4 linked regions of the Anolis sagrei genome follow. The protein of the gene in region 1 purifies or fractionates together with the protein of each later gene. This does not show direct contact. Links are inferred from orthologs where the notes say so. Each region holds a gene or a part of one and is shown in the gene's direction. Other genes may lie near its edges.

Region 1 (6,874 bases):
AGGATTCCATAGCATTGAGCCAGGGCAGTTAAAGAAAGAGAACAAAGACATGTTTGTGGGACTAAGCCTTTGGCAAGTAAAATAATGCAATACAAAGAATAATTAAGGAACATGTGCAATGACGATCGGAATGGCTATGGTGCACGATTTTTGGATCATGTGATTTTAATATTTATACTAGGATGATTTTAATGCGTCACCTGAATGTTTACATTTTGTTTATGCCTTATGTTTAGTTTTAATTATTTTAAGTCATAGTTATTAGTTATTATGTAGTAATTAGTTATCATGATCTCTTTTTTTATTGTATGTTGGCATTGAATCTTTGCCATTAATATATTGTAAACTGCACTGAGTCTCCCCAGGGGTGAGAAAGACAGTATATAAATATAGTAAATTAATAAATGGTGTCAAACTGCATTAAGTCTTGAGTGTGCGTGCACCCCAAATCTGGAAATTAGTTATCTAGCCAGACTTGAGTGTAATGTCATTTTCATCACAGTCTGATCTTTCTGTGTTGTCAGAATGATTTAAATCTAGACAAATATCATTCACAATCTCCAGAATGCCAATTCCCACCTGTGCTACTTATCATAGCCAGTGATGCGGGAAGATGGATGTGGCACTGTAATAACATCTGGAGGGCCACATTTTTCCTAGCCATGGTTTACAAGCCACACTGGTCAGGAAACTGCAGAAAAATTTATTGTCTCTTTCAGAACAAATGGAAAGTCCTAAGGTGACTATATATACAACTTTAGAAAAGGACACTACATGAATGAAAAAATAATTATAATTATTGGGTTGTTGTGAGTTTTCCAGGCTGTATGACCATGTTCCAGAAGCATTTTCTCCTGACATTTCACCCACATCTATGGTAGGCATCCTCAGAGGTTGTGAGGTCTGTCAGAAACTAGGCAAGTGAAGTTTATATATCTGTGGAATATCCAGGGTGGGAGAAAGAACTCTTGCCTAGTTTCCAACACACCTCACAACCTCTGAGGTTGCCTGCCATAGATGTGGGTGAAATGTCAGGAAAAACTGCTTCTGGAACATGGCCACACGGCCTGGAAAACTCACAGCAACCCAGTGATTCTGGCCATGAGAGCCTTTGACAACACAATTATAATTATTTTATTTTTTACCCTTCCTCTCCTCATATTGGATTTCTGTCCACAAAATAATAATAATAATAATAATAATAATAATAATAATAATGCAAAGACTCCGACACAAGCCAGTCAAGGTGGTCCCAGTGGTGATATGAGGATTTAAAGATTGAACTGCAAAGACTCTGGCACAAGCAAGTAAAAGTGGTCCCAGTGGTGATTGGCATATTGGGTGCAGTGCCTAAAGACCTTGGCCTGCACTTAAACACAATTGGCATTGACAAAATTACCATCTGCCAGCTGCAAAAGGTCACCTTACTGGAATCTCTACGCATTATTCGCCGATACATCACACAGTCCTACACTCTTGGGAAGTGTCCAACGTGTGATCCAATACAACAGCGAGCAGAGTGTTTTCTGTGGACTCAACTTGTTGTATTTATAATAATTATAATAATTATAATAATTATAATAATAATAATAATAATAATAATAATAATAATAATATATCACACAGTCCTAGACGCTTGGGAAGTGTTCGGCTTGTGATTTTGTGATATGAAATCCAGTATATACGTATATCTCGTTTGCTGTGACATACTGTGTTTTTGTTTCAGTAAAATAATAATAATAATCTTTATTTATACCCTGCCATCATCTCCCCGGAGGGGACTCAGGGCAGTTAACATGAGGCCAAGCCCAAAGATAAAATTGTTGTTCATTCGTTCAGTCGTTTTCGACTCTTCGTGACCTCATAGACCAGCCCACGCCAGAGCTCCCTGTCGGCCGTCACCACCCCCAGCTCCTTCAAGGTCAGCCCAGTCACTTCAAGGATGCCATCCATCCATCTTGCCCTTGGCCGGCCCCTCTTCCTTTTGCCTTCCACTTTCCCCAGCATAATTGTCTTCTCTAGGCTTTGCTGTCTCCTCATGATGTGGCCAAAGTACTTCAACTTTGTCTCTAGTATCCTTCCCTCCAGTGAGCAGTCGGGCTTTATTTCCTGGAGGATGGACTGGTTGGATCTTCTCGCAGTCCAAAGCACTTTCAGCACTTTCCTCCAACACCACAGTTCAAAAGCACCTATCTTCCTTCGCTCAGCCTTCCCTAAGGTCCAGCTCTCACATCCGTAGGTTACGACAGGGAATACCATGGCTTTGACTAGGCGGATCTTTGTTGCCAGTCTGATGTCTCTACTCTTTACTATTTTATCGAGACTGGACATTGCTCTCCTCCCAAGAAGTAAGCGTCTTCTGATTTCATGGCCATACAATACAGCAAAATAAAATACAAAATACAAAACAACAAAAATTACATCAGAATGAAATGCATACAGTAGCAAAATAAAATAAATAAATAGAAATAACATAATGGAAAAGCTTTCAAAAGCATTAAACCTTACCAGAAAAAGACAGATGACAACCTTAAGAATGCAAATTGATCAGAATGAGTAGGATTTCTTTTTCTTTCACCTTTCCACTTAATTTTTCCCCCTGAAAAACAATTCAAATTATTTGTGCTGCCTGATCAATAAAAAGGAGTCCTTAAAAGGTGTTAACTTTATGGAAGGTGCTTAGAAAGGAAGTTTTCCTTCTCTTCCACTTAAGAAAAACACTGTTCCCAACATACTGCTAAACAGGACAAAATTAAGTTTATTTTCAGCTCTTATTTTGAATGCAAATTATACAGAGATATCTTATTTGATGCCACAGGGCTTCCCAAATGATGCCTAACATATTGTCGAAGGCTTTCATGGCCGGAATCCCTGGGTTGTTGTAGATTTTTTCGGGCTGTATGGCCATGGTCTAGAGGCATTTTCTCCTGATGTTTCGCCTGCATCTATGGCAAGCATCCTCAGAGGTAGTGAGGTCTGTTGGAACTAGGAAAAGGGGTTTATATATCTGTGGAATGACCACTCTCACAACCACCATGTCAGACTACACAGAGAAGCCATTGAAATACACAAGCATGTGGACAATTTCATCAGAAAGGAAGAAACCATGAAAGTGAACAAAATCTAGCTACCAGTATTAAAAAAAACTCTAAAATTGCAACAGCACAATAACAGAGAGGAAGCAGGTAGCGACATCTAATTACCTCTCAACAAAAGTTTGCTCCAGGCACAGTCAACCCATTGTATGCTAATCAAGGTGGTCAGTTGAAACATTCACACCTAGCTCCAGCAGACAAGAGTCCTTTGTCTCACCCTGGTCATTCCACAGATATATAAACCCTTTTCCCTAGTTCCAACAGACCTCACAACTTCTGAGGATGCTTGTCATAGATGCAGGCGAAACGTCAGGAGAAAATGCCTCTAGATCATGACCATATAGCCCGAAAAAACCTACAACAACCCGATGCCTAAACACTCTAAAAGCACTAGATTCTGGTGGATCTAGGAAGTTAGGCAGGAGGTTATCTTTCAAAGGAAGGAAAGGGCAAAACAACCTGAATAGTGTGACATTCCTACAGACTCTGCCCACCTCCCCATAAGCCAGGCATGGGCAAACTTCGGCCCTCCAGATGTTTTGGACTTCAACTCCCACAATTCCAGGGTTGAAGGGGGGGGAAGGTGCTATTCTTAACGTTCTACGCTTGGTCTTCCAATGGCTCCGCCCCACGAAGCGTTCCCCGCTGCTATTGGCTGAGGGATCGATGACGTCACACGCCTTTCCCCTAAGCTCCGCCCTCGCACTGTCAGCCACGTAAGCCCTCTTTGGGCCTCACCAGCGCAGCGTGCGCATGCGCCTTTCTGTCAAAGCTGAGCCCAGTCAGGGTTGTCATGTTGGCAGGAAGTGGCGCCCGGGCAGGAAGTAGAACTCTTCAGGGCTGCAGGCAGAGCCAGGTGCTGCCTTCTCCTCCTCCTCCTCTTGTTCTCTATTTGGGCCCTTTCCCCTTCCCTCCCTCCTGGTGAGTTGTCTGCCTCCTCTTCCACCACCCCTCCTCTGCCAAGGGACAAGATGCTGAAAAAATTCGACAAAAAGGATGAGGAATCCGGTGAGTAATGCTGGGGACCATGGGTGCATCTATACTGGAGAATTGATGCAGTTTGACAGCACATTAGCTGCCTTGGCTCAATGCTATGGAATCCTGGGAGCTGCAGTTTGGTGAGCCACCATCACTCTTTGGCAACTACAACTCCCATGATTCCACAACATTGAGTTAGGAAAGTTCAAGTGGTGTCAAACTGTATTAACATCATAGCGTAGATGCTCCCCAGATGTAGTTTGGATTTTAGATATTATTATTATTATTATTATTATTATTATTATTATTATTATTTGAAACACAACAAGATGAGTCCACAGCAGATAAGATTATTCTGCTGGCTGTTTAATTAGATCACATGTCAGTCCCTTCTCAAGCCTAAACACTCTAAAAGCACTAGGACTGTGTGATGTATCGGTGAATAATGTGTGCAGATCCCAGTAAGGTGGCCTTCTGCAGCTGGCAGATGGTAATTTTGTCAGCGCCGACTGTGTTTAAGTGCAGGCCAAGGTCTTTAGGCACTGCACCCAGTGTGCCAATCATCACTGGGACCACCTTGACTGGCTTGTGCCAGAGTCCTTGCAGTTCGATCTTTAAATCCTCATATTGTGTCAGCTTTTCCTGTTGTTTCTCTGCAATCCTGCTGTCATCTGGGATTGTGACATCAACAACATTATTATTATTATTATTATTATTATTATTATTATTATTATTATTATGTTTTTGGCATGCTCCTGTCATTTAGGAAGAAATTGAAGTTGTGTTTCTGGGACCAGGCTTTTGGACAACAGACATAGATAGTACTTTGGACATGGAATTGGATATGGAATTGACTGGAATGATGATACGGCTATTAATACTGTTTTTTACTGTGTTAATGAATGTTTTACTTATTGTTTTAATTGTTATTATATTGCTCTGTTATATGTAGTGGCATCAAATTGCTGCCAAATGTAAGCCGTCCTGAGTCCCCCTTCGGGGGTTGAGAAGGAACGGGATAGAAATAAATAAATGTACATGAGATATTTTGGAGACAGGACACACCCCGAAACACCAATTTTATTTATATTTCATATACACCTTATGGGGTCCCCCCAGTGGCTCAGCGGGTAAAACTGCTGAGTTGCTGAACTTTCCAACCCAAAGGTCAGCAGTTTGAATCCAGAGAGCAGGGTGAACTCCCACTGTTAGCCCCAGCTTCTGCCAACCTAGCAGATCGAAAACATGTAAATTTATTTATTTATTTGATGCATTTATTAACCGCCATTCTCAGCCCTTTAGGGCGACTCATGGCGGTGTACAACACATATAAAAAGGCAATTTACCAAGAGGCAATTACAACAACATATTAACAATACAACAATTACAAAATTACACTAAAAATCCGCTTCGTCTCATAGTGGAATCATAACCAATCTCATATTCCTTGTTCCTTTCCAGTCGTCTTTACCACATTTTTATAGCACTTAATTAAATGCCTTCTCGAACAGCCATGTCTTAAGGCTTTTTCGGAAGGACATAAGGGAGGGTGCCTGTCTGATGTCTGCAGGGAGAGTGTTCCACAGCCGGGGGGCCACCACCGAGAAGGCCCTCTCCCTCGTCCCCGCCAGACGTGCCTGTGAGGCAGGCGGGATCGAGAGAAGGGCCTCCCCAGACGATCTCAAGGTCCTCGTGGGCTCGTAGGCCAAGATACGGTCCGAAAGGTATTTTGGGCCGGAGCCGTTTAGGGCTTTGTAGGCCAAAACCAGCACTTTAAATTGGGTCCGGTAGCAAATCGGCAGCCAGTGGAGCTGGGACAACAAGGGCGTTGTGTGCTCCCTGCCTCCCGCTCCAGTTAGTAACATGGCTGCCGCGCGCTGAACCAGCTGAAGCTTCCGGGCCGTCTTCAAGGGCAGCCCCACGTAGAGAGCGTTGCAGTAGTCAAGGCGGGATGTGACCAGAGCGTGTACCACCGTGGCCAAGTCAGACTTCCCGAGATACGGGCGCAGCTGGCGCACGAGCCTGAGCTGTGCAAATGCTCCCCTGGTCACCGCTGAAACCTGGGGATCCAGGCTCAACGATGAGTCCAGGGTCACACCCAAGCTGCGAACCTGCGCCTTCAAGGGGAGTGCGACCCCATCCAGCACAGGCATAAATGTGCATATATCAATAGGTACAGTTCCTGCGGGAAGGTAACGGCACTCCATGCAGTCATGTCAGCCACATGACCTTAGAGATGTCTAGGGACAATACCAGCTCTTTGGCTTAGAAATGAAGATGAGCACCAACCCCCAGACTTGGACACAACTAGACGTAATGTCAAGGGGAAACCTTTACCTTAGACATATAGCCTGAAGTTAATTTTGATACCCAATATTTTAAAATAATTTTGTGCATGAAGCATCAATTAACAATTAATCCATAATCTGGAGTTAGTTTAATACAATGTTGTCTAAGATGAAACAAATGTTTTTATACATCAGCTCATTGGAAAGCAACTCTCTCAGCTGCTCATGTGAATAATTTCAGATTTTGGGGGATTTTGGAAATACAGCTAAGGGATGCTTAACCTGTATTGACAAATCTCTTTATGGAGAACAGGGGACAAGTGTGTAGTTATGGAAGATGTATTTTCACTCCTCAGTACAGAGCACCTCAAAGGAATATACCCTTCCATAGTATATAGTTGCCTATACACACTAAGGAAGAGATATCCCTATCATCCAATAAATGGGCCCAAATTATGCAGACTTTTGTGGTTGATGTTTCTCCAGGGATCAACACTGAACTAATATTGTGTG
Region 2 (7,414 bases), on another chromosome or scaffold:
ACGTAAATACATAAATAATAAATAAACTGCATTAATTCAACAATGCAGATGCACTCTTGGGCTGAAGATGCAGTTAGCACAAAGCAACTATTAGCGGCATATACAAAGCAACTATTAGCTGCATATGTACCTAATATGCAGAGACATTTTAGGTACACATTTCAGTTTTAATTTCATATTTAGACTTGTGTCTCATCAATATCTCATTGTGGATATTGTTTTTAAAAATATATTTTGGATAAGGGATACTCAACCTGCATCGCTGCAAAGTAAACATTTTTATAAAATCAAACCTCTTTTTCTCTTTTTCTCTTTATTATCCAATGCTGTCTGGAAGGCTTAGGAAAATATTTAATTATCATTTTTTGTTGTTCATTCGTTCAGTTGCCTCCAACTTCTTGTGACCTCATGGACCAGCCCATGCCAGAGTTCCCTGTCAGCGGTCACCACCCCCAGCTCCTTCAAGGTCAAGCCAGCCACTTCAAGGATACCATCCATCCATCTTGTCCTTGGTCGGCCCCTCTTCCTTTTTCCTTCCAGATACCCATGATGCTCAGGGATTTTTCAAAGCCACAAAGGTCATCTATGGACCAAGAAACCATGGCATACAGCCTGTACACTCATCAGATGGAACCAAACTTCTGAAGGACAAAAAAATCAATTGCACTACGTTGGAAAGAACACTACCAAAGCCTCGGGCTTTATTTCCTGAAATATGGACTGGTTGGATCTTCTTGCGGTCCAAGGCACTCTCAGAACTTTCCTCCAACACCACAGTTCAAAAGTGTCTATCTTCCTTCACTCAGTCCATCTCTCACATCCGTAGGTGACTATGGGGAATACCACTGCTTTAACTATGTGGATTTTGGTTGCCAGTGTGATGTCTCTACTCTTCACTATTTTATCGAGATTGGTCATTGCTCTCCTTCCAAGAAGTAAGCGTCTCCAGATTTCCTGGCCGCGATTTCTTGACAAAGTCTATCACGGCCTCCATGTTTTCTCCCTCTATTTGCCAGTTATCAATCAGTTTGGTTGCCATAATCTTGTTTCTTATATATATATATTTAGCTGCAACCCAGCTTTTGCACTTTCTTCTTTCACCTTGATTAGAAAGCTCCTCAGCTCCTCCTTGCCATCAAATTGGTATCATCTGCATATCTAAGGTTGTTAATGTTTCTTCCAGCTATTTTTACCCCAGCCTTGCATTCATCAAGCCCCACACATCGCATTCATACAAGTTGAATAGGTTATTATTATTATTAACTTTATTTATACCCTGCAAAATCTCCCGAAGGATGCGGCTTACAAAGGCCAAGGCCGCCGACAAACAACAACATACAATACACAATAAACTCATAAGCAAATAATAAACATCAAGCAAAACAATAAAACAGTAAAACAATGACACCGTGATGCAATTAAAACCTAAAGGCCGGGCCAAATGTAATGGACAAAATTTTAAAAGTTCTGAACTTGACAGGTGATATGTAGAGGTATTTGGTGGTAGGTGCAATGTGCAGATAATCCTGAATCTCTAGCAAAGTGCATTTGGGACTTGATGCCAGGAGTTTCCTATTCTGGAAAGGCACACTGGAACAGCCAGGTCTTCAAGCTCTTCCTAAAGACAGCCAACGTTGGGGCTTGTCTGATGTCCTTGGGGAGGGTGTTCCAGTCGGGGGGCCACCACAGAGAAGGCCCTGTCCCTCGTCCCCACCAAACGCGCCTGCGACGCAGGTGGGATCGTGAGCAGGGCCTCTCCAGATGATCAAAGGGAGCGTGCGGGTTCGTATTTGTTTGGTCACGCAGGTAGGCAGGTCCCAAACCGTTTAGGGCTTTGTAGGTGAGCACTTGCACCTTGAATTGGGACCGGAAAATGAACGGCAGCCAATGGAGCTCCTTGAACAGGAGGGTTGACCTCTCTCTGTAAGGGGCCCCAGTTAACATCCTGGCTGCCGCCCGCTGAACTAGCTGAAATTTCCGAGCCGTTTTCAAGGGCAACCCTTGTGAAACTACAACTCCCATAATTCCATAGCATTGGGTGAGAGTATGCAACCGTGTTGTACGCCTTTCCCAATTATATCAATTTTAGTATTTAGTTATTTAATATCCCATTTTCATGTCTTTATGTTGTTTGGTACTTGAATGTGTATCTATGTTGATATACAGTAAATTTAATGTTTAAAGAAACTTTCTGAGAAATGTCCTAAAGAAGGAGCAGTTATATTAATCTGAACTCATGCTACATCAGAATTATGAAGGTGTGTCTACACCGTAGAATTTAAGAAGTTTGACACCACTTGAACCGCTTTTGCTGAATGCTATGGAATCATGGGATTGCTGAGGCCTCAGCCCTCTTTGGTAGAGAAGGCTACAGCCCTTGTGGAACTACAACTCCCATAATTCCATAGCACTGAGCCTTGGCAGTCAAAGGGGTGTCAAACTGCATTAATTTCACGGTGTAGATGCACCATTATGACTTTTAAAAATGAGGTCTCCCCGACCAGCTCAATTAAACAGCTGAGAATGGGAAAAAGTGAGTGAGAGAGAGGCAGGTACCTGTCCCGGAGGCCCTTCGCTTCCTCCCGGCTCTTTCCTCCCAAAGTCGCCTCCAACTCCCCGCCGCGCAGCCGCAGAAACGCCCAAGAGGGTCCCGCCCACCGCACTACGTTCTGACCTCATGCCTCGCAAAGCAGAACGGGAAACGTAGTCCTTTATTGCGTCTCCCCTTGTTCTCCAGTGTCTCAAATGAACTACAAGTCCCAGAAGGCCGCATTCTCAAAGCAGCTCTCCCTTATCTCCTGGATGTTCTATATTAGGATAGGGTCTTATTTAAAACGGAGAAAATGAATCAACTAAATAATAATAATAATTATTATTATTATTATTATTAATTAATAAGCAAAATTAATTGATGCTATGGGATGGGGCAAATAAATGGGATTTATAAATCAGTTATATTATGAATCAACTAATAATTAATTAAATAGTAACTAATGAGTAAAATTGATTAATGCTATTGGGGCAGGGGCAAATAAATGGGATTTATAAATAAGTTATATTATGAATCAACTAATAATAAAGAATTAATTAATATTAATAACTAACATTAATTAATGTTATTGGGATGGGGCAAATAAATGGGATTCGTAATTAAGTTATATTGCCAATCAACTAATAATAAAGAATGTATTAATTAATTAATAATTAATTGAGTAAAATTGATCAATGCTATTGGGATGGAGGCAAATAAATGGGATTTGTATTTAGTTATATTGTGAATCAACGAGTAATAAAGAACTTATTAATTAATAATTAATTGAGTGAAATTAATCAATGCTATTGTGGCGTAGGCAAATAAATAGGATTTGTAATTAAGTTATATTATGAATCAATAATAAAGAACTTATTAATTAATTCGTATTTAATTGATGAGTAAAATTGATGCTACTGGGGCAGAGGCAAATAAATGGGATTTGTAATTAAGTTTATTGTTAATCAACTAATAATAGATAACTTATTAATATTAATGAATGAAAATAATGAATGCTGTTGGGGTGGTGGCAAATAAATAGGATTTATAAGTAAGTTATATTATGAATCAACTAATAAAGAACGAATTAATTAGTAATTAATTATTAATTAGTAAAATTAATCAACACTATTGGAGACGGGGAAAATAAATGGGATTTATAAGTAAATTCTATTATGAATCAACTAATAAAGAACTAATTAATTAGTAATTAATCATTAGTCAGTAAAATTGATTAATGCTATTGGAGGCGGGGGCAAATAAATGGAATTTATAAATAAGTTATATTATGAATCAATTAATAAAGAACTAATTATTAATTAGTAAAATTAATTAAGGCTATTGGAGGCGGGGCAAATAAATGGAATAAATAAGTTATATTATGAATCAACTAAGAAAGAACTAATTAATTAGTAATTAATTAGTATAATTAATAATTAATTAGTAAAATTGATACTATTGGAGGCGGGGGCAAATAAATGGAATTTATAAATAAGTTATATTATGAATCCACTAATAAAGAATTAATTAATTAGTAATTAATTAGTAATTAGTAACATTAATTAAGGCTATTGGAGGTGGGTGCAAATAAATGGAATGTATAAATAAGTTATATTATGAATCAACTAATCAAAAACTTGCTAATTAATTAATAATTAGTAATTAATTAATTAGTAAAATTAATTAATGCTATTGAGGTGGGCAAATAAATGGGCTTTTAATCCCCTGTGGATGTGCTTCAGGGATTCCTCATAAACAAGTCTTTGAATGAGAACAGCCAAAACGCAGAAGTTGCCCACTCAGTGGCCCGGATGTAGTTCTTGAGCAGCAGTCACTCAAAAAACTACACTTCCCAGAACGCTTTGCTCGCACTCTTCTACCTAGAAGCCTCTGCGGGCTGGAAGAGGCGTCCTGGCTTCCCTGGGCCTCTAATAGGAGAAGAAAGAAGCGATGGAGGACAAAGCGGCGGCCAATTGCTCCCTGCGGGTCAAGCGCCCCCTCTTGGACCCCAAGTTCGAGGGCTACAAGCTGTCTCTGGAGCCGCTGGCCTCTTACCAAGTCGCCCTGGACTCCCGTAAGTGGATCTCAGCACCAGAGACTGGCCAGGCGGGAAGACACAATCAAAGCCCTCCCGACAGATGGCCAGCCAGACTCTGTTTAAAAAAGGGGCTGGCAAAAAAGGGATATCCAGGATTCTATAGTTAAAGTAGTGTCAGGTATGATCCAAAGCAGGAATGGGCAAACTTGGGGCCTCCAGGTGTTTTGGACTTTAACTCCTACAATTCCTAACAGCCGGTAGGCTGTTAGGAATTGTGGGAGTTGAAGTCCAAAACACCTGGAGGGCCCAAGTTTGCCCATGGCTGGTATAGACAGCGACACATCCATGGGGTTGATCTTGTCATTTGAAAGTTGTAGTTGCTGGGATTTATAGTTCACCTAGAATCAAAGAGCATTCTGAACTCCACCAACGATGGGATTGAACCAAACTTGGCACACAGAACTCCCATGACCCAAGTTGGTGAACTACAACTTCCTTGAGTTTTGGGAGTTGTAGTTCATCTACATCCAGAGAGCACTGTGGACTCAAACAATGATGAATCTGGACCAAACTTTGTTCAAATACTCAATATGCCCAAATGTGAACACTGGTGGAGTTTGGGGAAAATAGACTTTGACATTTGGAAATTGTAGTTGCTGGGATTTATAGTTCACCTACAATCAAAGAGTATTTTGAACCCCACCAATAGAATTGGGCCAAACTTCCAACACTGAACCCCCATGACCAACAGAAAATGTGTTTTCTGATGGTCTTTGGCAACCCTACTGGAACCCCTTCATGACCCCCCCCCCCCCCGGGGTCCCAACCCCCAAATTGAGAAACACTGAATTAAGTAAAAGTAATATCTAAACAGGGAGAGCCATATTACAAGCGTTAGGATTGTCTGTGGCCCCCATCTACACAGCTATATAATGTTTGCTGCCAGTTTCCTACAAAGCACAGTTCAAAGTACTGGCTTTGCCCTATAAAGCCCTCAATGGCCCCGGCCCAAATTACCTGTCCAAACGTATCTCCCTCTCTGAACCAACAAGGAGGTTAAGATCTGCTCTCGGTCTCATCACCTTTGCAGGTGCGACTGGTGGGGACAAGAGACAGGACCTTCTCAGTGGTGGCCCCTCAAGCTGTGAAACTCCCTCCCTAGTGGCATTTGATTGGCCCCTTCCCTGCTGTCATTTTGCAAAAGAGTGAAACCTTGTCTTTGGGATCATTTCGGCCAGCATAATTATGGGTGCAATATAGTTGGAAGTGATGCATGCCATATGCCAGCAAATATGGAAAACACAAGAATGGCCATCAGAGTGGAAAAAATCAACTTATATCCCCGTACCAAAAAAGGGAAATGCGAAAGACTGCTCCAACTTCCGTACAGTGGCCCTTATTTCTCATGCCAGTAAGGTAATGCTCAAGATCCTGCAAGGAAGACTCCAGCAATACATGGAGCGAGAGTTGCCAGATGTACAAGCTGGGTTTAGAAAAGGCAGAGGAACGAGAGACCAGATTGCCAATACCCGCTGGATAATGGAGAAAGGCAGGGAGTTTCAGAAAAACATCTACTTCTGCTTCATTGACTATTCTAAAGCCTTTGACTGTGTGGATCATAATAAACTGTGGCAAGTTCTTGGTGCGATGGGCATCCCAAGCCACCTTGTCTCTCTCCTGAGGAATCTGTACAAGGACCAAGTAGCAACAGTCAGAACTGACCACGGAACAACAGACTGGTTCAAGATTGGGAAAGGCGTACGGCAAGGCTTCATACTCTCACCCAACCTTTTTAACTTGTATGCAGAACACATCATGCGATGTGCGGGGCTTGTTGAATGCAAAGCTGGGGTGAAAATTGCTGGAAGAAACATTAACAACCTCAGATATGCAGATGATACCACCCTGATGGCCGAAAGCGAGGAGGAGCTGAGGAGTCTTCTAATCAAGGTGAAAGAAGAAAGCGCAAAAGCTGGGTTGCAGCTAAACATCAAAAAAACCAAGATTCTGGCAACAAGAATGGTTGACAACTGGAAAATAGAGGGAGAAAATGTGGAGGCCGTGACAGACTTTGTATTTCTAGGCACAAATATTACTGCAGATGCAGACTGTAGCCAGGAAATCAGAAGACGCTTACTTCTTGGGAGGAGAGCAATGTCCAGTCTCGATAAAATAGTGAAGAGTAGAGACATCAGACTGGCAACAAAGATCCGCCTAGTCAAAGCCATGGTATTCCCTGTAGTAACCTACGGATGTGAGAGCTGGACCTTAGGGAAGGCTGAGCGAAGGAAGATCGATGCTTTTGAGCTGTGGTGTTGGAGGAAAGTTCTGAGAGTGCCTTGGACTGCGAGAAGATCCAACCAGTCCATCCTCCAGGAAATAAAGCCTGACTGCTCACTGGAGGGAAAGATACTAGAGACAAAGTTGAAGTACTTTGGCCACATCATGAGGAGACAGCAAAGCCTAGAGAAGACAATTATGCTGGGGAAGGTGGAAGGTAAAAGGAAGAGGGGCCGACCAAGGGCAAGATGGATGGATGGCATCCTTGAAGTGACTGGACTGACCTTGAAGGAGCTGGGGGTGGTGACGGCCGACAGGGAGCTCTGGCGTGGGCTGGTCCATGAGGTCACGAAGAGTCGGAGACGACTGACCGAATGAAAACATAGTTGGAATTGCCTTTGGATTGATGAATAGGATGATCTGACTTTGGATCGATGCACAATAGTTGTCTAATGTTTACATAGGTTGTTTTAATGTTGTTTTAAATTATTGTTTAATTGTTGTTGTTGTTTGGGCATAAAATAATACCGCTCATGTAGGCCGCCCTGAGTCCCATTCAGGATGAG
Region 3 (7,096 bases), on another chromosome or scaffold:
GGATGAAATGAGTGTCTACAACTGTTCTGTTGTTCAATAATTCAATAGGAAATGGCAGACTCCCCCCCCCCCCAGATCTGAAGGGATACCCCAATATTTGTCGGCACATTTTGAATGTTGGGTGCCACAGTTTAGAAGCTGAAATTGTTAGTAAACACATTTCAGTTACTAAACACTAACAGGCTATTCTGGACTGACTTCATTGGATTTTTCAATCACAAAATCACATTTATCAATAAAACGTTTGGTTGGAGGTAACTGGAATTTCCGCTCAATATTTTTTTATTAGAAGATTAAACATTTAGTTAAAATAGTACTGCATATGAATTAAATAAACAAATTCTGACAAAAAATGAAACCATTTGACTTTGAATAAAGAAAAATGGAAAATTGAAGATTAGATCTTATACCCAGTTCTGTAGCTTTTATATTGAATAAAGATTGCAGCATTTCATTACGAGATTTTCTTTTACAGTTTGGGATCAGTGAAGCTTAAAAGTGTAACACTTGCCTATTTTTTATCTTTTTAAGACTGCTCAACCTGCTGAGGAAACAGCAGAAAAGCCTGAGGAGCCAATGGAGCACTAAATACTGCGCACAAAATATGGGGTTTATTCCAATTGCAGCACTGCTGGGAGTCTTCATTTGTATTCTGGCAACTTAACTCTGAGATGAATGCGTATTGTAGTGACATGTTATAGTGAGTCAGTCTTCAAAATGTATTGCCAAAAATCTTGACACTGGCAGTGGGGAATTAATAAACTGACCATTTATCTTGACAAGAAAAGCTGTCATTTTCTTTAAAAAAAAGTATGGAATACTGTTTTATATAAAAAGTTGCTTTTTTAAAGGCATCTGTTAATAAATCTTTCTTTCCTGAAATGTCTTGTTTTAGCTTTTTTTATCTGATTAGTCAGAGAAACATCAGCCAGTCATTTAATACTATAATTCGTATTGCCATGATGTTCACTTTGGTTTTGTGAAATGGTTTCATTTTACAAAGGGAGTAACTTTCAAAAACCAGACAATATTGAAGAACTTAAATAATTCAGCATAGTCAAGCATTTTTGACTTGTATGAAACAATAGTTAACTATTTGTTTCATACTAAAGATCCAATGATTTAAATAATGAATGCTGCATTGTCTTTATTTTTCTTCTGTTTGTAATCCAGGCCCTTGTTATGAGAACATGTTTGGTATAGTGGTTTGAGCATTAGTCTATAGTTTAAATTTCTGCTCATCCATAAAACTCACAGGGTCACTTTGGGGAAATTAAACTTTCTCATCTTCAGAGAAAGGCAATGGCAAACCCCTGAACAAATTTTGCCAGGAAAACTCTTTTATAGGTTCGCCTTACATTCACTGTAATGTTCTGAAAGCACACAACAACAATATAAGCGGTCCTAGTCATGTGGACTCTTTCAGTGTTGTAATAGGTGTTGACAGTGCAGAAAGAAAAAAATGGTTTCTTGTGGAATATATACCTATATAAATGGCTGGAGTTGCACTTAAAATGTTCTTACTTACATACAAATTCAACTTAAGAACAAACCCACAGAATCTATCTTGTTTGTAACTTGGGGACTGCCTGTACTGTATATGAACTATGAATGGTAACACTGAAAATACAGTAAATGATAGGGAAAGAATAACTGCCATATTACACCAGTGCTGCAACATTTACATTGGCTTCCAACTGAGTACCGTGGCCTGTATAAGATGTTAGTTCTGACCTTTAAAATTCTTTACGGCCAGGGTCCATCGTACCTTAGGGACCGTCTCTCATTCTCCCATCATCAGAGGTCGCAACGACCATCCCAACATGACTTACTTTATATACCAGGTCCTAGAGAAGTGCACCTGGAAAGGACCAGATGCAGAGCTTTTTCTATTTCTGCCCCTGCCTTGTGGAATTCCTTGCCGCCCTGAGAGCCATTCGTGAGTTAGGGCCTTTTACCCTAGCACTTAAGACCTGGCTTTTTACTAGAGCATTTGATCTATGTTAATTTTATCAATATCTGTATGTATGTATTTTTATCCTTTACAATTTCAGCTTGTAAATCGCCAAGAGCATCTTGGATGGAGGGCGATTAATAAGTAATTAAATGATGATGGTGATGATGATGATGAAAGAAGAGAAAGCAGTAATGCCTTTTCCCCTTGAGCATTTTGAATGGCTTGGAGCAATTGTTTCAGTTTAAATCTTTATAAACTAGCCCATTTCATTATATATCTTCTTTCTTTGCTTCCATTCTCATGACAAACAGCCAGCCTCTTGCTCTTCCCCTCTTAACCCTCTTTATATGTGGCAAGGGGTATTGTTGTCTGAGCTCTGACATTTCACCATAGTAGTATCATTTCTACTCTGTAGTACACAACTGGAGCATCATATTCCTTATTCACTACTGTAATTTATTGATCCCAAGGGCGGGGGGATCAACATTAAATAATGGAGAAAATGACAAAAAAAAGGAAAAACATTCTATACAGGTGTGATTCCTGTCTACAGTTAAAACTTAACTACACAAAGCAAACATCACAACGCCCTTCTAAAATAGAAATTTATTACAATAAACAGTGCGTAACTAATTGAAACTAAAACACAGAAGAACTTGATTATTTATTTACAGTATTTATATTCCGTCCTTCTCACCCTGCAGGGGACTCAGGGCACATCACAATGCACATATACATGGCAAACATTCAATGCCATAGACACACAACATATATAGAAAGACACACAGAGGCTATTTAACTTTCCAGCTTCACGAGGGTATGATCGAATTCCGGCCACGGTGGAGTTGTTGTTTCACCGTGCACACTGCTGGAGATTTTTTCAAATGCCATCGTAAATTAGTTAAATTAGCCTCCCCGCATAAGTGGTACTTAAATTTCCTACTTGACAGATGCAACTGTCTTTCGGGCTGCAAAGGTCGACAGCAAGATAGACAAATGGTCAGGAGCTTACTCCGACCCCAGCTGGCTTCGAACTTGTGACCTTTCGGTCAGTAGTGATTTTAATGCAGCTGGCTCCCAACCAGCTGCGCCACAACCCAATCCCCTTTATTTATCGTGTCAGGAGTGAACCAAAACAATTGTATTGCATTAAAAACAAATGAACAGACAGACAAAACACAAAGTTTGCAGACTTGGTATTCTATTAAATGTCCTTTGACCAGTAGCTGGCCACTTGGAGTGCCTCTGGTGTTACTGCAAGGTCCTCCATTGTGCATGTGGCAAGGCTCAGGTTGCATTGCAGTAGGTGGTCTGTGGTTTGCTCTTCTCCACACTCACATGTCGTGGATCCAACTTTGTAGCCCCATTTCTTAAGGTTGGCTCTGCATCTCGTGGTGCCAGATCGCAGTATGTTCAACGCCTTCCAAGTCGCCCAGTTTTCTGTGTGCCCAGGAGGGAGTCTCTCATTTGGTAGCAGCCATTGATTGAGGTTCGGGGTTTGAGCCTGCCGCTTTTGGACTCTCGCTTGCTGAGGTGTTCCAGCAAGTTTCTCTGTAGATCTTAGAAAACTATTTCTTGATTTAAGTCGTTGGCATGCTGGCTGCTATCCAAACGCGGTGGGCTGGAGATGTCACTGCCTTAGTCCTTTCACTATTGGTTGCTACTACCCGGCCGATGTCAGATGGTGCAATACTGGCTAAACAATGTAATTTCTCCAGTGGTGTAGAGCGCAGACATCCCACGATAATGTGGCATGACCCAATCCCCTGATAGAAGCTATAATAGATGAGGGGGAGAGACAATTTTTAAGACTATCGGACATGGGCAAACTTGGGCCCTCCAGGTGTTTTGGACTCCCAACTCCCACAAGGCCTAACGGGGAAAAGGAAGGGGCCTGAGGCTGTTAGTCCTTGTGGGAGTTGGGAGTCCAAAACACCTGGAGGGCCCAAGTTTGCCCATGCCTGGACTATATTATGCAGTACTACCATTACAGATCTTTGCTGCACTGAGCTGGATGCGACAACCCGCTTGGCCCCGCCCCGGGCGCGAGGGACGCGGAAGAGGCCGCGCTTTCCCCCTCTGGAGGCAGCACGCCTGTTCCGCGAACGGAGGAGGCGTGTCCCAATCGGGCCGCCGTAGTTCCGATGTGGCCTGTGCGCGGAGGGCTGCTTCCACGTCAGCTGGAGGAGTCGGGAGCAGGAAGGCGGCGGGAGCGGCGGGGGAAGTGAGCGGCGGAGGGAGGATAGTGGTAGTGGCCGCCGCGGGAAGATAGCACCCGATTGCCTGCAGCCACCCGGAGGCTCCCTGGGCGAGGGCAGGCCCACACGGAAAGGACGGAGCGGCGGTGAGTTGTATCCGCGTCTGACTGGGAGGAGAGGCCGCGGACCCTGGGCTCGCTTGCTCGCTCTCACACACATACACTCACGCTGGGCCTTCTCTCCCTTTCCGAAGGCCCAGCTTTGCGAAGCCTAGGAGCCGCCAGCCAAACCAACCCAGGGCCGAAAGCAGAACTTCCACAGGATCCCCGCTATTTGGAGCATTGTCCGCTGGATCCCGCGAATTATTCCTGCGGGGAGACTCCGAGTCGTTTCTGAGTCATGGCGACTCTAAAGCTTCAGGTTTCCTTGACAAGATTAATTCAAAGTGGATTTGAATGTCCCTCCTCTGAAGCCGAGAGAGTGTGACTTGCCCAGCGTCACTCATTGCCTTTCCTTGGCTGAGCAGGGGTGCAAACCCTGGTCTTCAGACTCTCAGGGTGCATCTAGACCAGGCATGGACCAACTTCCCTCCAGGTGTTTTGGACTCCAACCACCACAATCCCTAGTAGCCTTATGGCTAGCGTCGGAAGAGATCCATGGGTCATCCAGTCCAACCCCCTGAAAGGGAGGAAAACACAATCAAAGCACTCCCAACAGATGGCCATCCAGTTTCTGCTTTTAGACCTCCAGAAGAGGAGATAAGCCAGTCATGGGCAAACTCAGCTTAAGCAGCTGAGGGGGAAAAGGAAAGGGCCTGAGGCTGTTAGGTATTGTGGGAGTTGGAGTCCAAAACACCTGCAGTGATGGCCAAAGTGTTGTTGAAGGCTTTCATGGTCAGATTCACTGGGTTTCTGTGAGTTTTCCAGGCTGAATGTCCCTGTTCCAGAAGCATTATCTCCTGACGTTTTGCCCACATCAATGGCAGGCATCCTCAGAGGTTGTGAAGTCAGTTAGAAACTATTTATTTATTTATTTATTTATAACTCTTGTGTGCCGTTCTTCTCTACCTCCGTAGAGGGACTCAGGACGGCAAACAGCAACATTCAATGCTACGCAATAAATAGTATAATAAAACAACATACAATAAATAAGTTCTAAAATACATATAAAAACAATTCATCACATTAAAACAACGTCCAACTCAGTCCAAAACATTGTGGCCAAATTACTCTTAGTCTATATCCAATCATCCATCAATCTGCAAATGCCTGAGCCCACAGGCAGGATTTTAGCTGCTTCCTGAATGACAGGAGAGAGGGGGCAGACCTAATCTCACCAGGGAGAGAGTTCCATAGTCCGGGGGGGGGGGGGGGAGCTACCACAGAGAAGGCCCTGTCTCTCGTCCCCACGAAACGCCCCTGCGGAGGTGGTGGGACCGAGAGCAAGGCCTCTCTAGAAGATCTTGTAATCCTCAATGGTTTATCGGGGAAGATACGTTTGGCCAGGTAAACCGAGCCCAAGCTGTATAGGGTTTGGTAGGTTAAAACCAGCACTTTGAATTGTGCTCTGAAGCGAATTGGCAGCCAGTGGAGCTGGTGTAACGGGGGGGGGGGGGTGTGCACTCCCTGTACCCAGCTCTCGTGAGCAACCTGGCTGCAGAGCGTTGGACTAATTGGAGCTTCTGAACAGTCTTCAAAGGCAACCCCAAGAAACTAGGCAAGTGAGGTTTATATATCTGTGGAATTGTACTCTTACAACCACCATGTCAGACTACACAGAAAAGCCAGAGCAATCCACAAGCATGTGGACAGTTTCAACAGAAAGGAGGAAACCATGAAAATGAACACTATCTGGCTACCAGTCTTTTTTGAAACAAACTCTAAAATCATAACAGCAAATAAAGAACAACACTCAGAAAACAGGATTTCTAAACAAGGATAAATGAGGGCCAGCTAACAGCTCCCAACAAAGGATTCCCCCACGCAGCAACCAGCCAGGCCTTGAAACTTCAGGTCATTAAATGCTCATCAAGGTGGCTAATAATAATAATAATAATAATAATAATAATAATAATAATGGTAATGGGTTAAACCCTTGTATTGGAAGGACTGCTGATCGAAAGATCGGTGGTACAAATCCAGAGAGTGGGGTGAGCTCCTGTCTGTCAGCTCCAGCTTCCCATGCGGGGGCATGAGGGAAGCCTCTCACGGGATAGTAACACATCCGGGCGTCCCCTGGGCAACAGCCTTGCAGATGGCCAATTCTCTCACACCAGAAGTGACTTGTAGTTTCTCAAGTTGCTCCTGACACACACACACACACACACACACACAAACAAACCCATAAATCTTTCTTATAGCCTACTCTACTGTCCTTGTTTTGCCCTCTTGACTTTGTTGATCTTTTCCAGATGTGTTGAATGTTCTTCCATCTTTCCTAGCTGGCACAGCTATATATTTTAAAATAAGTCATTCACAGTGGTTTCTTTAAATCTATTGAAATTTTAAGTATATATTTCAGTCTAACCGTTATAATGGTGGATCGTAAGGTGCTCAGTTTTGATCCTGCCCTTTTATTTTAATGAGATGTATAGTCACTTATGTTTCTGTAGTATCTTCCTTATGTGTGCACTCCTTATCAGAAAAGGCTTGATATTGTAGTCATTTATTAAGGTAGCTTTGTAACAATATAAATTTGTTTATTTTCCATTGCTACTATATTTTAACACTTGTGCAATGTGCGTATGACACAGATAAATTGTGTACATATTTATCTGATAATATATCATATGATAGTACCCCTTGCTGAATCTAAAGGGGCTTGCTTCTGAATAGGTTTGCATTAGGCTGCAGCCTTGATTTTCTCAATAGGGTTAAGGTTACATGCTTGTATTGCACATTAATTGGATTGTTTACTTTAAAATTATTGGTACATCGTTTTA
Region 4 (7,055 bases), on another chromosome or scaffold:
TCTTGGGTGAAGTCAGTGCAGCCCTGTTCCAGCAAACGGTCTGCTTCATCCAGGACCTAAATCCCAATGAGGAAAAAAAGAAGGGATCCTAGAGCGGGATGACCCCAAAAGGTCATCCAGTCCAACCTCTTTCTGTCAGGTAAGAAGGCTCCATCTAAGGCTTCCTAAAAGATGGCCATACCGACTGAATGATAGACTCATAGAGTGGGAAGGGGTCCCCGAAGACCATCCAGTCCAACCCCTTTCTGTCATAGACACCATCCAAGCCCTCCCGACAGATGGCCACCCAGACTCTGCTCAATAATAATAATAATAATAATAATAATAATAATAAAATCCTAAAGTTGGAAGGGATCCCACAAAGGCCATCCAGTCCAACTCGTCTGTCATAAAGGGGGACACCATCAAAGCCCTCCCAACAGAGGGCCATGTAGACTCTGTTTATAGAATCCTAGAGTAGGATGGGACCCCCCAAGGCCAACCAGTTCAACCCCCGCCTTACCAAGACCTTGATCCGTTGAAGGCTGCAGGGGTTGGAGCTGCGGAGGTGGTCGGCCAGGCGCCCTGGGGTGGCGACGACCACGTGGGGCTTGCGGGAGAGTGCCAACGCCTGGGACACCATGTCTGCAAGGAGAGGGAGGGATCACGTCATGTATTCGTGGTGCACTCTCTCAGCTTTTCGGCCCCATATATACGTACCCATGCCGCCCACAACGATGCAGTCCTTCAGGCCCAGTGGCTTCCCTAGGACTCGGAACTGTTCAGCGATCTGGTAGGCCAGCTCCCTATTGGAAACAATAAATCGAGAAGGGAATATACATAATATATCAACACAGTCCATTCTACCACCTAGGAAGACACCATCAAAATCCTCCTGACAGATGGCCATCCAGACTCTGTTCAATAATAACAGCAACAATAATAATATAATCCTCGAGTTAGAAAAGACCTTTTAAAGGGCCATCCAGTCCAACCCCATTCTGCCGTAAAGGAAGACACCATCAAAGCCCTCCTGATAGATGACCACTCAGCACCTGCTTAGTACTAATACTAATAATAGACCTTGTGGGCGTCAGGACGAGGCAGAAGATGCCGTAGGGGTCCTCTGAGAGCCTCTGCAGGACCGGAAGCACAAAGGCAGCCGTCTTCCCACTCCCGGTCTTGGCACAGCCCATGCAGTCACGGCCTGGAAAGAAAGCAAGAACTCTGAACATGTTCTGAGGCAAGATCAGCTCAAAGGAAACCCCCCACCGCTTTGCTAAGGGGTGATTAGGCAAGCCCCAACCTTAGCAGCCTTCAAGAAGGATCTCAAAACTTGGCTTTTCTGTTGCACCTTTGGAGAGTGATCAGATATTTCCTTTTGTTGCTCCTCTCACAATGTTTGTCCTCATATTGCACTCCCCCCCTCCTGTTTGAAAGCCTGTCTCCACTACTCCGTCTCCTATGAGCTTCTCCCATACCAATATTTCTTTTACATCTCTATCTCATCTTGAATTTTATCATTTTATCTCGCACATGTGGGCCGCCCATTGGGATTGACTCTGCATTGTATTATTTTGTATTGTTTTATTGTATTCTTATGTTTTTATTTATTTAATTGTGATGTTTGTTTTGTTGCTCTGGTTTTATTTTGTACTGTTGGGCTTGGCGTCATGTAAGCCACCCCGAGTTTCCTTTGGGGAGATGGTGGAGAGGTATAAATAAAGATTATTATTATTATTATTATTATTCCACTGATTAGATTTAAATGTAGAACAGGGTTCATGGAGAACTAAGTGGAGAAAACACTCTGCCCATGCTCAGGAATCCCTCCCCCAGGCTATTTAGTGGGGAGGGTGATTTAGAGTGGGCATGGTTTTCTGTGAGGGCGTGGCTTGAAGAGCCCCCCCACTGGGGATCAAAGGGAAACTGAGTGGGCGGGGCTTCACGAAGGGCGTGGTTTGGCTGAGAAGGCTTTCTGTGGGGCCGTGGCTTGAACGCCTAATTGCCAAGGGAAACCTGGAGGCGTAGCTTAATGGTTTTTTTTGGTTGTTTTTTTTAAACAGAAGAACGGCCTGCCTCAGGGGAGCGTGCTTGTTCCATCCATGTTCAACATCTACACAAATGACCAGCCACTGCCAGGAGGGACAGAGAGTTTCATCTATGCTGATGATCGTGCCATCACCGCTCAAGCAGGGAGCTTTGAGATGGTTGAAAAGAAGCTATCCGAAGCTCTAGGTGCTCTTACTGCCTATCACAGGGAAAACCAACTGATCCCTAATCCATCTAAAACACAGACATGCGCCTTTCACCTTAAGAACAGACAAGCATCCCGAGCTCTGAAGATCACCTGGGAAAGGAATCCCACTGGAGCATTGCAGTGCACCCAAATACCTGGGAGTCACTCTGGACCGTGCCCTGACCTACAAGAAGCACTGCCTGAACATCAAGCAAAAAGTGGGCGCTAGAAACAATATCATACGAAAGCTGACTGGCACAACCTGGGGATCACAACCAGACACAGTGAAGACCTTGCGCTATGCTACACTGCTGCTGAGTACGCATGCCCAGTGTGGAACACATCTCACCACACTAAAACAGTGGATGTGGCTCGTAATGAGACATGCCGCATTATTACGGGGTGTCTGCGCCCTACACTACTGGAAAAATTACACTGCTTAGCCGGTATTGCACCACCTGACATCTGCCGGGAAGTAGCAGCCAATAGTGAAAGGACCAAGGCAGAGACATCTCCAGCTCATCCCCTGTTTGGGTATCAGCCAGCACGCCAACGACTTAAATCAAGACATAGTTTTCTTAGATCTACAGAGACACTCGCTGGAACACCTCAGCAAGCGAGAGTCCAAAAGTGGCAGGCTCAAACCCAGCACCTCAATCCATGGGTGATACCAGATGAGAGACTCCCCCCTGGGCACACAGAAGACTGGGCAACTTGGAAGGCGCTGAACAAACTGCGCTCTGGCACCACGAGATGCAGAGCCAATCTTAAGAAATGGGGCTACAAAGTGGAATCCACGACATGCGAGTCGAGAAGAGCAAACCACTGACCACCTGCTGCAATGCAACCTACATGCACGATGGAGGACCTTCTTGCGGCAACACCAGAGGCACTCCAAGTGGCCACATACTGGTCAAAGGACATTTAATCAGCTACCAAGTTTGCAAAATCTGTGTTTTTTGTTTTTTTTAAATCTGTGTGTTTGTTTTGTTCTGTTAGAAATGTAATACAATGGTCTGGTTGCTGATGACACGATAAATAAATAGCTTAATGTGTGGGCGTGGCTCGGAGGCTCTTCCAATGAGGGTTAGAGGCAACCGAAGGGGCGTGGCTTGAAGAGCCTCCCAGCAGGACGAAAGGGGGCGTGGCTTGAGGCGTCTGAGGGCGTGGCCTGGTCGAGCGCGCGAGGTCTTACCTTGGAGCGCGGGTGGGATGCAGGCCTCTTGGACGGGAGTAGGCCGCTTGAGGCCCAGTTGCTCCGCTTGCGCCGCCAGCCAAGGCGACAGGCCCAAGGCACGAAAGCCGGCTGCCGCCATCACACTCCGGAGGAAAGAGGAAAAAGGAAGCAATCCCAGAGTGCCACGCGGTGGTGCGCTCTGCGTCATGACGTCACGAACCTGAGTCGGGCTGTATAGGTTGTCATGGCAACGCTGTAGCTTGTGTCCCAGAATGTTCAGCGCGAAGCTTCAGAGCGTCGAACAAATTAGAAATCACAATAACACGAATATTATCATATTTAGTTGTTACCCAATACGAATTGATAGAAATTATAAGAAAAAATTAAAATACTATTATAATTTATAATTATAATATAAAATAATAGAATATATATATATATATATACTTATGATTTCTATTTATTTTTTTCTTCTCTTGATCGCAATCTCACTCCCAGTCTTGTCACTCTAAACTTTTCCTTTCTCTATGTTCACACTCTCTAGCGTCAGCCCTTTTCCTTGCCTTGATTGGTCAAACGGGAGAAGGGGCGGGGCACAGCGAGTGAATGACAGCGCGACGGCCAATCGCCGGCGAGGGAAGTCGGAAGTGGAGACGTGTCAAACCTTCTGAAGGGAAAGCCGGGCCAAGATGGCGACGACGGGGGCAAGCGGCGCTGCGGGCGAAGCCGACGAGCTCTTCGACGTCCGGAACAACTTCTACATCGGGGCCTCGCAGGCCGCCATTAATGAGGCGCAGCGCGTGAAGGTGAGGCGTCTTTTCTGCGAGGAGGAGCGGTTCCAAAAGCGACGAGGCCTCACTGAGCGGATTGGGGCCTGCAATGAATTCTGTCCCTCGGCCGCCTTTTTCGAAATGTATTCACTAGAGTGATAATATGTCTCCCTTTCTTCTCTCCTCAGGCATCCAGCCCTGAGAAAGAAATCGAGAGAGACGTTTTCCTGTTCCGCGCCTATATTGCTCAGGTGAGGTCGAGATATTATATTGTTAGGTTCTTGTGGGTTTTTTCGGGCTATAGGGCCATGTTCTAGAGGCATTTCTCCTGACGTTTCGCCTGCATCTATGGCAAACATCCTCAGAGGTAGTGAGGTCTGTTGGAATTAGGAAAATGGGTTTATATATCTGTGGAATGGCTGGGGTGGGGCAAAGAGCTCTTCTCTGCTGGAGCTAGGTGTGAATGTTTCAACTGACCACCTTCATTAGCATTTGAAGGCCTGCCTGAGCCTGGGAAAATCTTTTGTTGAGAGATGCTTGGATGTCCCTGATTGTTTTCCCTCTGCTGTTTTGCTGTTTTAATTTTAGAGTTTTTTAATACTGGTAGCCAGATTTTGTTCATTTTCATGGTTTCCTCCTTTCTGTTGAAATTGTCCACATGCTTGTGGATTTCAGTGGCTTCTCTGTGTAGCCTGACATGGTGGTTGTTAGAGTGGTCCAGCATTTCTGTGTTCTCAAATAATATGCTGTATCCAGGCTGGTTCATCAGGTGCTCTGCTATGGCTGACTTCTCTGGTTGAAGTAGTCTGCAGTGCCTTTCATGTTCCTTGATGCGTGTCTGGGCGCTGCGTTTGGTGGTCCCTATGTAGACTTGTCCACAGCTGCGTGGTATACGGTAGACTCCTGCAGAGGTGAGAGGATCCCTCTTGTCCTTTGCTGAACGTAGCATTTGTTGGATTTTCTTGGTGGGTCTGTAAGTGGTTTGTATGTTGTGTTTCCTCATCAGCTTCCCTATGCGGTCAGTGGTTCCCTTGATGTATGGCAGGAACACTTTTCCTCTGGGTGGATCTTCATCTTTACTCTCGTGGCTCATTCTTGGTCTTGCAGCTCTTCTGATGTCTGAGGTGGAATATCCATTGGCCTGGAGAGCCCAGTTGAGGTGGTTCAGTTCATCTTGGAGGAGGTGGGGTTCACAGATTCTTTTTGCACGGTCTGCCAAGGCTTTAATTGTGCTTCTTTTTTGACTTGAGTGATGGTTGGAGTTTTTATGTAGATATCTATCTGTGTGTGGGGGTTTTCTGTAGACAGTGTGACCCAATTGTTGATCTGGTTTGCGGATAACTAGGACATCTAGAAAAGGCAGTCTTCCTTCATTTTCTTTTTCCATTGTGAATTGGATTTTTGGGTGGATGCTGTTAAGATGGTCCAGGAACCTGTTGAGTTCTTCTTCTCCATGGCTCCAAATGGTGAAGGTGTCATCCACATATCTGAACCATATAGTGGGTTTTTTGGTTATTATATTATTATATTGTTATTTTTGTATTTATATTATTGTAAAACATATTATGCAGTAGTAATATTATTTATTTATTCATTTATTTATTTTTATCCCGCTGTTCGCGGGGTAAAAATAAATGAATGGTTAAAACAACAGAAATTACATGTCACAAAAAACACAACATCCTCACCCCAAATAAAACAGACACACAAATAACACATTCAGTTGTTGTGTATTTTCCGGGCTGTCCTGCTATGTTCCAGAAGCATTCTCTCCTGACGTTTTGCCTGCATCTATGGCAGGCATCCTTAGAGGTTGTGAGGTTTGTTGGAAACTAGAAAAATGGGGAATGTCCAGGGTGGGAGAAAGAACTCTTGTCTGTTTGAGGTAGGTGTGAATGTTACAAATGGCCACCTTGATTAGCATTTGATGGTCTAGTAGTTTTCAAAGTCTGGATTCTTACTGCCCAGGGGAATCCTTTGTTGGGAGGATTAGCTCAGGATTCCCCCAGGCAGACCTTATTTATTTATTTACTTATGGTGTTTATACCCCCCTCCTTTTCTCAGCCATATGGCAACTCAAGGCGGGTTACAGATAGGCACAGTTTGATGTCAGGCATTCATAAAAGTGTCATTTAAAACAATCAACATTACAATATAAAACATAAATAAAAACCGTTAAATCATTGGTGTCATCTTGTTAAAAACATCCAGTAACATCATCTGCCATTCCATGTTCATCATTCATAGTTCCATGTTATCTGTTCCGCTGCATTCTCAAAAGCTTGCTGAAAGAGCCAGGTCTTTACTTTTTTTTTCAGAGGGGGCCGATCTAATATCCCTGGGGAGAGAGTTCCATAGCCAGGGAGCCACCTCTGAGAAGGCCCTGTCCTTCGTCTCTGCTAATCGCACTTGTGAGGCAGGCGGGACCGAGAGCAGGGCCTCCCCAGATGATATTAAGCTCCTAGATGGTTCATAGGAGTAGATACGTTCGGACATGTAACCTGGGCCGGAATCATTTAGGGCTTTATAGGCTAAAGCCAGCACTTTGAATTGTGCTTGGTAGCAAATTGGCAGCCAGTGGAGCTGACGCAACAGAGATATAGTGTGTTCTCTGAGCACTGCTCCTGTTAGCTCCTATTAGTAACCTGTCTGCCGTTCTTTGGACCATTTGAAGCTTCCAAACAGTCTTCAAAGGCAACCCCACGTAGAGTGCTATGCAGTAATCTATTCGGGATGTAACAAGAGCGTGGACCACCGTGACCAAGTCAGACTTCCCAAGGTACGGGCGCAGCTGGCCTTGAAACTGCTAGGCCATTAAATGCTAATCAAGGTAGCCAGTGGCTACATTCATACCTACCTCAAACAGACAAGAATTCATTCTCCCACCCTG

What was found.
Region 2: the proteins of COPG1 (region 1) and NUDCD1 purify together in Homo sapiens (affinity purification with mass spectrometry; 3 studies listed by BioGRID and IntAct, counting the BioPlex papers as one, with this or other methods). This does not show direct contact. The link is inferred for Anolis sagrei from reciprocal best matches to the Homo sapiens genes COPG1 and NUDCD1.
Region 3: the proteins of COPG1 (region 1) and COPB1 fractionate together in Homo sapiens (co-fractionation; 11 studies listed by BioGRID and IntAct, counting the BioPlex papers as one, with this or other methods). This does not show direct contact. The link is inferred for Anolis sagrei from reciprocal best matches to the Homo sapiens genes COPG1 and COPB1.
Region 4: the proteins of COPG1 (region 1) and COPE fractionate together in Homo sapiens (co-fractionation; 6 studies listed by BioGRID and IntAct, counting the BioPlex papers as one, with this or other methods). This does not show direct contact. The link is inferred for Anolis sagrei from reciprocal best matches to the Homo sapiens genes COPG1 and COPE.

The regions. Positions count from the first base shown.
Region 1 is NC_090022.1:56,476,824-56,483,697, reverse strand, and holds the start of COPG1 (coatomer subunit gamma-1), read left to right. Parts: upstream 1-3,851; 5' UTR 3,852-4,066; coding exon 4,067-4,103; intron 4,104-6,874. UniProt on the Homo sapiens protein: The coatomer is a cytosolic protein complex that binds to dilysine motifs and reversibly associates with Golgi non-clathrin-coated vesicles, which further mediate biosynthetic protein transport from the ER, via the Golgi up to the trans Golgi network.
Region 2 is NC_090024.1:26,950,185-26,957,598, forward strand, and holds the start of NUDCD1 (nudC domain-containing protein 1), read left to right. Parts: upstream 1-4,389; 5' UTR 4,390-4,480; coding exon 4,481-4,604; intron 4,605-7,414.
Region 3 is NC_090021.1:250,245,834-250,252,929, forward strand, and holds the start of COPB1 (coatomer subunit beta), read left to right. Parts: upstream 1-4,077; 5' UTR 4,078-4,301; intron 4,302-7,096. Other genes in the region: PSMA1 (proteasome subunit alpha type-1), read left to right, coding at 532-588. UniProt on the Homo sapiens protein: The coatomer is a cytosolic protein complex that binds to dilysine motifs and reversibly associates with Golgi non-clathrin-coated vesicles, which further mediate biosynthetic protein transport from the ER, via the Golgi up to the trans Golgi network.
Region 4 is NC_090034.1:52,171,491-52,178,545, reverse strand, and holds the start of COPE (coatomer subunit epsilon), read left to right. Parts: upstream 1-4,039; 5' UTR 4,040-4,084; coding exon 4,085-4,201; intron 4,202-4,353; coding exon 4,354-4,416; intron 4,417-7,055. Other genes in the region: probable ATP-dependent RNA helicase DDX49, read right to left, coding at 1-56, 503-624, 700-785, 1,063-1,186, 3,414-3,603. UniProt on the Homo sapiens protein: The coatomer is a cytosolic protein complex that binds to dilysine motifs and reversibly associates with Golgi non-clathrin-coated vesicles, which further mediate biosynthetic protein transport from the ER, via the Golgi up to the trans Golgi network.